2 linked regions of the Macaca fascicularis genome follow. Each later gene encodes a partner of the first gene's protein in a complex. Links are inferred from orthologs where the notes say so. Each region holds a gene or a part of one and is shown in the gene's direction. Other genes may lie near its edges.

Region 1 (4,394 bases):
AGTGGCCCACACGGGCTCATAGGCCAAGGTGACCTTGCTCCAGTCCTTCACATTATCTGCAATGACCTTTGTCTGTTCAAAAACAACCTTCTCACGGATGCCAGCTTCCCTTTCACCTAGCTTCTCCCCAGTGCAGGTGATTACTCCGAGTCCCTCTGCCAGAACATGGGCCACTTTCTGCCCAATCAGCTCATCTGACTCCCCAAAGACATGCCTTCTGAGTGCCCCAGGACCACACCACCTATGTGACTCCTAAGTCTTTGACCATGCCAGGGCTGATTTCCCCAGTAAAGGCCCCGTTAGCCACTTTGCAGCAGTTCTGCGCAGCCACAGCAATCTTGGGATCTAGCGTCTGCCGGGCCAAATCGATACAGGCAGTGGGGAGAGCACAAATCACTTCGGTATGGGCAGGCACAGTGGCCGCGTTCTGAGTGCCAATGAGCTCCCCCAGACACTTCTTCCGCCCGTTATCTTCCAGTTCCTCTCCACGAAGAACTTCCTGGAGGGCGCCATGGCGCCGGAGCTGAGGTGCCGTAGGTCAGTGTCAGCGCCTAAAACGGGTTTTAATAATACTTGGCAAGGTTGTTAGGCGGATTAAATGAGCTCTTGTAACTACAGTGTTTTACACATTGTGAGCATTTATCAAATAGCAGTTATTTACTAGTGCAAAGGACTAGCAGCAATGTTCATATTAATATACTGTTAACCTTTTGTCCCCAATTTCTCCAGAGTACAGTTTCCAAGATTTCTGTTTTCTTTTGTGAACTGTTAGACCACTGGTATTGGATTCGGACAGAAAGGCATTCACAAAAATACGGTTCAATGTGAGAATAATCCTAAAGATGTATGCAAAACACTCTGGAGTTAGAGCACCAGGAGCTGTAAGCGGAATGAAAGACCTCTTTTGGGCTTAAGAACTAAATAAAGGGGAGCTGACAGAGATTCTAGGCATTTTGGATTTATCTCAATGTGGCACATATTTCAGGTTTGTAAAATAGTTCAGTTGACTACGTGTCTGTCTCCTCCACTAGAGCCAGCGTAGGCACCATGTCTTAAGTCATTTTGGATCTCCAGTACTGTGGCCACTACAGGGAGAGTTGAATTGACGCGCCTTGATCACCAGGGCAGAAAAGGATTCTCTGGAGAGGGATAGGGAAGTCGGAAGGGGGAGGAAAAACCTGGATCCATTTCCAAGGAGCTGAAGGCAGCTTAGATATGGGACACATCTCGGTGCTAAAGCCCCAAGCTGGAAGCGAGAAACCGAGAGAACAACACCGGCTCTTCTTCCCGGCTCCTGGCCCGGTAGGGCCACTTCCGGGAGGGGGCGGGGAGACAAGAGGAGGCGTGCCGGGAAGGAGGCCGTTTGTAGTGTACCAGGCGGAAGTGTGCCAAAGGTATCGGTGCTGTCGCTTCCGGTCCGGGTAAACGCACCTTAGGTACACGCTGGTGTGTGGCGTGCGAAGATAGGCGTCTGAAGGCAAGTCAGCGAGTGAAGACGGGAGCGCCAGAATCTGTGGACTCAGAAGTCTGGGGTCTAGTGGAAAAACCGGAAAAAAGGCCAGGAACCTGAATACGACCTAATAGCTGTTTCCGAGGGGGCAACTTCCACGGGGAACCTTCTGCCCTGGTAACGGCCAAAGAGGAGGAGATGGCGCCAGTCAGGGAGCTGCCGTGGCCCAGACAGTGAGGAAGCGCGAAGGCGGAGCAACCGTGGAAGCCTCGGGAGAAGAATCAGAGCCGTCGCTACCGCCACTGCCGCCACCACCATGGAAGGAGCAAAGCCGACATTGCAGCTCGTGTACCAGGCAGTGCAGGCGCTTTACCACGACCCAGATCCCAGCGGAAAGGAGCGCGCCTCGTTTTGGCTTGGGGAGCTGCAGCGTTCGGTGAGGGGCCCAGAGAGGCAGTTCTGTGCCGCGGGGCCGGGGCGAGGTGGAACCTAGGCTCCAGGGGAGAACCTGAGCCCGGCGGTTGACCTCGTGAGGTCCTCCTTGGGGAGGAGCTGCTGTCGTGGGGTGGGGCTGCGAAGCTACATCTTTGCCGCTTTTGGGAAACTAGTCGCACCTGATCGGTCGCGAACTGGCCCTTTCCCCACCCGGTGGAATCTGATTTGTAGGTCTTATACTTTTCGATTGTGGCATCGATCTAGTCTTGTTTAAGTTCTGTCTTTGCCGTTGCTTCTTGGGCCGTGCTTTTCCGTTTTGTCTTCCTCCCACCAAATCCAACCCCAGTGTTTCTCCACCTTCCGCTTAAGAATGGTTTATTGGTCTCCTCTCCGTGTCCAAGACTTGCATCCGGCAATTTCCTCCCAGTCGTAGCCTTATGCCTCACTCTTTTTGCCTGTTTTCACTCCAGTTTGAGTCTGTTCTTCTCGAAACTTCTCAGGTTTCTAGATTCTTACTCGTGCGAGTTTTCCCCTTGCTTTGGAATGGCAACATAATATGAAGAAAAAATATTAATTCTGCGTTCAGAAAATCTTTGGAGTTCTAATTTTATTTCATATTAATCCTCTAACCTTGTTATTTCTCTGGCTTTTAGATTTTTTTATTTCTAAAATGGGTATCACTGCTGCTTTGATTATTCCATATAAAACTGTATGTGCATCCAGTGAGATATTTAATTGTAGCTTATATCTATTGTATTTCTGCATTCGTTGATTCATGTTTTATGCTTCCTTCCCTAATTTTCACACCTTTGCTGTGCTTCATTTCTGTGTGAGTGTGTATTCTTGGTGATCTGGCTGACTTAGGTCCTAATGTAGTATGCACTTTAAAAATTAAGTACTTTGAAAACAACTAAAGAAGCTTTTTTACAGGCTGACAAAATACTCACCTTTGCCTTTATTTTTGCATTTTATACTAACAAGCATATTTTTTTGCCCCTCTTCCCTTTAACTCATAACTGATACTTAAAGGTGCTCTGCCTTATTAAATCAGCTCCTAGACTGCAAGTTCATGATATTTAAAAATTTGCAACTTTGACTTTTTAAAAATCTGGTCTTGGTATGGAGCAACTTTGCCTTTTTTTTTTTTTTTTTTTTGAGACAGAGTCTCGCTCTGTCGCCCAGACTGGAGTGCAGTGGTGCGATCTCAGCTCACTGCAACCTTCTCCTCCTGGGTTCAAGCGATTCTCCTACTTCAGCCTCCCGAGTGACTGGGATTACAGGTGCCCGCCACGATGCCCGACTAATTTTTTTTTTTTTTTGAGACAGAGTCTGGCTTTGTCACCCAGGCTGGAGTGCAGTGGTGTGATCTCGGCTCACTGCAACCTCCTCCTCCCAGATTCAGGTGATTCTCCTGTCTCAGCCTCCCGAGTAGTTGGAATTACAGGCGCACGCCACCACACTCAGCTAATTTTTGTATTTTTTAGTAGAGACAGGGTTTCACCATGTTGGCCAGGCTGGTCTCGAACTCCTGACCTCAGGTGATCTGCCCACCTCGGCCTCCCAAAGTGCTGGCACTAGAGGTGTGAGCCACCGCGCCTGGCTGCAACTTTGCCTTTGAATATTAAACTTAAAAAATTGGTGCCCAAGTCCTCGTTAGAAAATAAAGGAATACGACTCACTGTAGGCTACACAAGAAAATCATTCACATATGGTCTCATTTAGTGTTTCTGTGATCTCTGGAGAGTCACAATTCCCTGATCTTCGTTTAGTTTTCTAAAGTATAAATAGGAGAAATGCTACACTTCACTGCAAAAGTCCTATCTTTCTAATTAAACCTGCTTGTTGTGTGTATTTTAAATCAATATTTGAGTGCTTACCATGTGCCAGCAACTATGCTGGGTGTTTGGATTTGGAAATGAACTAGAAAAAAATCTCTGCTTATCACGGAAGGTGGTTGTGATTAAATGAGTTAATATTCTACGAAGAGCTTAGAAAAGTTCTTGGAACATAGAGATTAAAATGTTAGCAATTGTTATTTAAATATTAGTCACTTTTCTCTCCTTACTTTCCACTACTCTATTACAACCTTACATCATCTTCACAGATGGGATTTCCCATTGGCCAAACCCAGCCGGAAGCCAGGCGACACAGTGACCTATTGGTAAAGTCTATACAGGTCAGCCTATTGGAGCAGAAAACATGACAGAAGAGGGTGGAAAAGTGGATCTGGAAAATATCCAGCAGTCACACTTCATGTTTAGGCAACTTCAGCATCTGGATTGACAGTTCAGCTAACATTTTGGCCTTTTGATTCCTTTACCTCTTCATTCTCTTCAGTCACCTGGTCACACAATCACACCCTGGATCTTGTCTTTACTAAAAAGCCACCACCCAGGCTGTCATGACTGTAATCCCAACACTTTGGGAGGCTGAGGCAGGCGGATCGCTTGAGGTCAGGAGTTCAAGACCAGCCTGGCCAATATGGTGAAAACCCGTATCTACTAAAAAT
Region 2 (3,013 bases), on another chromosome or scaffold:
TGCACATCTATAGTCCCAGTTTCTTGGGAGACTGAGGTAGGAGAATTGCTTAGACTAGGAGGTGGAGGCTGCAGTGACCCATGATTGCACCACTGCACTCCAGCCTGGGTGACAGCTTAAGTCCTAGGTACGAGTTTCCGACAATGAAAAACAATAACCTGATTTTCTAATATTTCCCCTAAAAAACACATGTCATTTACATAAAATAGGAAGCGGGGAGAGGTGGTGAGAGATGACCCCTGTTGAGGATTTCATTGGTGTCTGCCACAGGCCGCCATGGCATCAGACGAAGGCAAGCTTTTTGTTGGAGGGCTGAGTTTTGACACCAATGAGCAGTCGCTGGAGCAGGTCTTCTCAAAATACGGACAGATCTCTGAAGGTGAGGCTGGTGCTGGGCCGGCGGCCCGGGTGGGGCTGGCTTGTGCTCCTCCTGACTGTAGGTACAGCTGGGTGCTGACTGCAGACCTCTCTCCCCTGCACAGTGGTGGTTGTGAAAGACAGGGAGACCCAGAGATCTCGGGGATTTGGGTTTGTCACCTTTGAGAACATTGACGACGCCAAGGATGCCATGATGGCCATGAACGGGAAGGTGAGGATCAGGGTGTTGAGCGGGAGCCCCATCCTGAGGATGGGGCACCCACCCACTAACCTGTGCCATCCGCTGGTCTCCAGTCTGTAGATGGGCGACAGATCCGAGTAGACCAGGCAGGCAAGTCGTCAGACAACCGATCCCGTGGGTACCGTGGTGGCTCTGCCGGGGGCCGGGGCTTCTTCCGTGGGGGCCGAGGACGGGGCCGTGGGTTCTCTAGAGGTGAGTGCCGTGAGTTGGCCCTTTGGGAATGCTGTGAGGCACTGCTGGTGGGAGCTGGTACTCACTTCTTCCTGTATGCAGGAGGAGGGGACCGAGGCTATGGGGGGAACCGGTTCGAGTCCAGGAGTGGGGGCTACGGTGGCTCCAGAGACTACTATAGCAGGTGAGGGGTGAAGACCAACCCGGGCACAGGGGTGATGGTGGGATGGCCAGCTTCAGTCCCAGGTCCCTGAGGGAGCTGAGATGAGGCTGGCTGGCCAAGGAGCAGAGGCGGGAGGGGGCCCAGGCCAAGAGGAGAAGAAACTGCTGAAGACAGTGGCAGAAGCGGGAAGGCCAGGGGGGCATGGCTGGTGCAGGTTTTGGACGATTTCTGAGACTCTACCCTGCTGGGGTCCTTGCGTCCCCAGAAGGGACAGCTGGCATGGGGGCTGACGGCTCAGCCTGCTGTGGCAGAGCAAAAGTAGACTGGTATCCTCCGGTACTCATGTCTGTCTATCCTGCAGCCGGAGTCAGAGTGGTGGCTACAGTGACCGGAGCTCGGGCGGGTCCTATAGAGACAGTTACGACAGTTACGGTAAGTCACGCTCCGAGGGTGCCACGCTGCTGTGGCCTGCGGTGGGAGCTCGGTTCACCTTGGCACCTTCTCCAAGCACTTTAGGCTGGACACTCAGATCTTGTCACTGCGCTTGCCTATAAGAGGCACGTCTGTCCTCTCAGAGCCATTTCTATCACAGGACACAAAAGCCAAATGAGACTGACCAAAAAGGCAAGGGAGAGCGAGGGCCCGCTGGGCAGTCAGCATAGGTGCATGTGTGGCTGCAGGCCAGCCTCCCTCGGCTGTGGGGGGTGGTTGCTCCCCGGTCGCAGGCCGCGCCCTGGTCTGGCCTCTGGGGTGAAGCTGCCTCTCGTTGCTTCGGTGCCTTTACACTGTGCCTGCTTCTTGTCCTCAGCTACACACAACGAGTAAAAACCCTTCCTGCTCAAGATCGTCCTTCCAATGGCTGTGTGTTTAAAGATTGTGGGAGCTTCGCTGAACGTTAATACGTGTAGTAAACGCACCTCCTTGTATTCCCACTTTCGTAGTCATTTCGGTTCTGATCTTGTCAAACCCAGCCTGACCGCTTCTGACGCCAGGATGGCCTCGTTACTAGACTTTTCTTTTTAAGGAAGTGCTGTTTTTAAGGGTTTTCAAAACATTTTGAAAAGCACTTCAGATTTACTTTTTTGACCACGAGCCATGAGTTTTCAAAAAAATCGGGGGTTGTGTGGGTTTTTGGTTTTTTAGTTTTTGGTTGTGTTGCCTTTTTTTCTTTTGGTGGGGTTGGCCCCATGAAGTGGGTGCCCCACTCACTCCTCTGAGATCGAACGGACTGTGAATCCGCTCTTTGTCGGAAGCTGAGCAAGCTGTGGCTTTTTCCAACTCCATGTGACGTTTCTGAGTGTAGTGTGGTAGGACCCCGGCGGGTGTGGCAGCAACTGCCCTGGAGCCCTGGCCCCTGCGCCCATCTGTGCTGTGCGCCCCACAGTAGACGTGCAGACGTCCCTGAGAGGTTCTTGAAGATGTTTATTTATATTGTCCTTTTTTACTGGAAGACGTACGCATACTCCATCGATGTTGTATTTGCAGTGGCTGAGGAATTCTTGTATGCAGTTTTCTTTGGCTTTACGAAGCCGATTAAAAGACCGTGTGAAATGAACCTTGCTCTGACAATTCCCTTGCATTGCACCACACACTCCCTGCTGCAGGCTCCTGCAGCCAGACCTGAGCAGAGAAGGCGGAGAAGCAGCAGGTCTGCAAGCCTTCCCTGGGGCCTGCAGAGAGAGCTAGAAAGGGAGGCCCAGCAGATTGGCGCTGGTCAGGGTAGGGGAGCCAGGCGGGGGACGGGAGCGGGCAGCTCAGGCCTCAGGGCAGCCCCGGGAGGCTTCTGGCAGTGGTGGCCAGAGGGCTGGACTGTGCGGGCAGCTTAGCAGGGACAGTGGACGTGCACCCGACGCTGACCTGGACTGCCTCAGTCTAGAAGCAGGCCAGAGAGCGGAGGCACGTGGCATCCCAGGGCGACCTCAGACGGCCAGCCGGTTAGCTAGTTCTGCTGTTGCTTCACGAGTTCTGAGCGTTCTCTGCTAGCCTATGGAAGCTGCAGCCCTCGGAGGACAGAAGTGTTGTGCGCCCAACAGAACCCTCTGAGACGCAAGCTGCTCCCT

What was found.
Region 2: the proteins of TNPO3 (region 1) and CIRBP are in contact, whole or in part, in a crystal structure (PDB 8CMK), measured with the Homo sapiens proteins. The link is inferred for Macaca fascicularis from reciprocal best matches to the Homo sapiens genes TNPO3 and CIRBP. Residues at the interface, in NP_036602.1 of Homo sapiens: Arg620, Glu660, Arg661, Cys663, Arg664, Arg667, Phe668, Arg671, Ser698, Cys699, Tyr702, Ser705, Ile706, Asp709, Glu710, Asp747, Asp750, Asp751, Arg754, Arg758; in NP_001271.1 of Homo sapiens: Tyr160, Arg161, Ser163, Tyr164, Asp165, Ser166, Tyr167, Ala168.

Annotation. Positions count from the first base shown.
Region 1 is NC_088377.1:170,513,657-170,518,050, reverse strand, and holds the start of TNPO3 (transportin-3), read left to right. Parts: upstream 1-1,423; 5' UTR 1,424-1,766; coding exon 1,767-1,886; intron 1,887-4,394. UniProt on the Homo sapiens protein: Importin, which transports target proteins into the nucleus. Specifically mediates the nuclear import of splicing factor serine/arginine (SR) proteins, such as RBM4, SFRS1 and SFRS2, by recognizing phosphorylated SR domains.
Region 2 is NC_088393.1:1,852,693-1,855,705, forward strand, and holds the end of CIRBP (cold-inducible RNA-binding protein), read left to right. Parts: intron 1-209; exon of another isoform or gene 210-270; coding exon 271-379; intron 380-482; coding exon 483-589; intron 590-672; coding exon 673-811; intron 812-892; coding exon 893-974; intron 975-1,314; coding exon 1,315-1,507; 3' UTR 1,508-1,761; coding exon of another isoform or gene 1,762-1,778; 3' UTR 1,779-2,508; downstream 2,509-3,013. UniProt on the Homo sapiens protein: Cold-inducible mRNA binding protein that plays a protective role in the genotoxic stress response by stabilizing transcripts of genes involved in cell survival. Acts as a translational activator.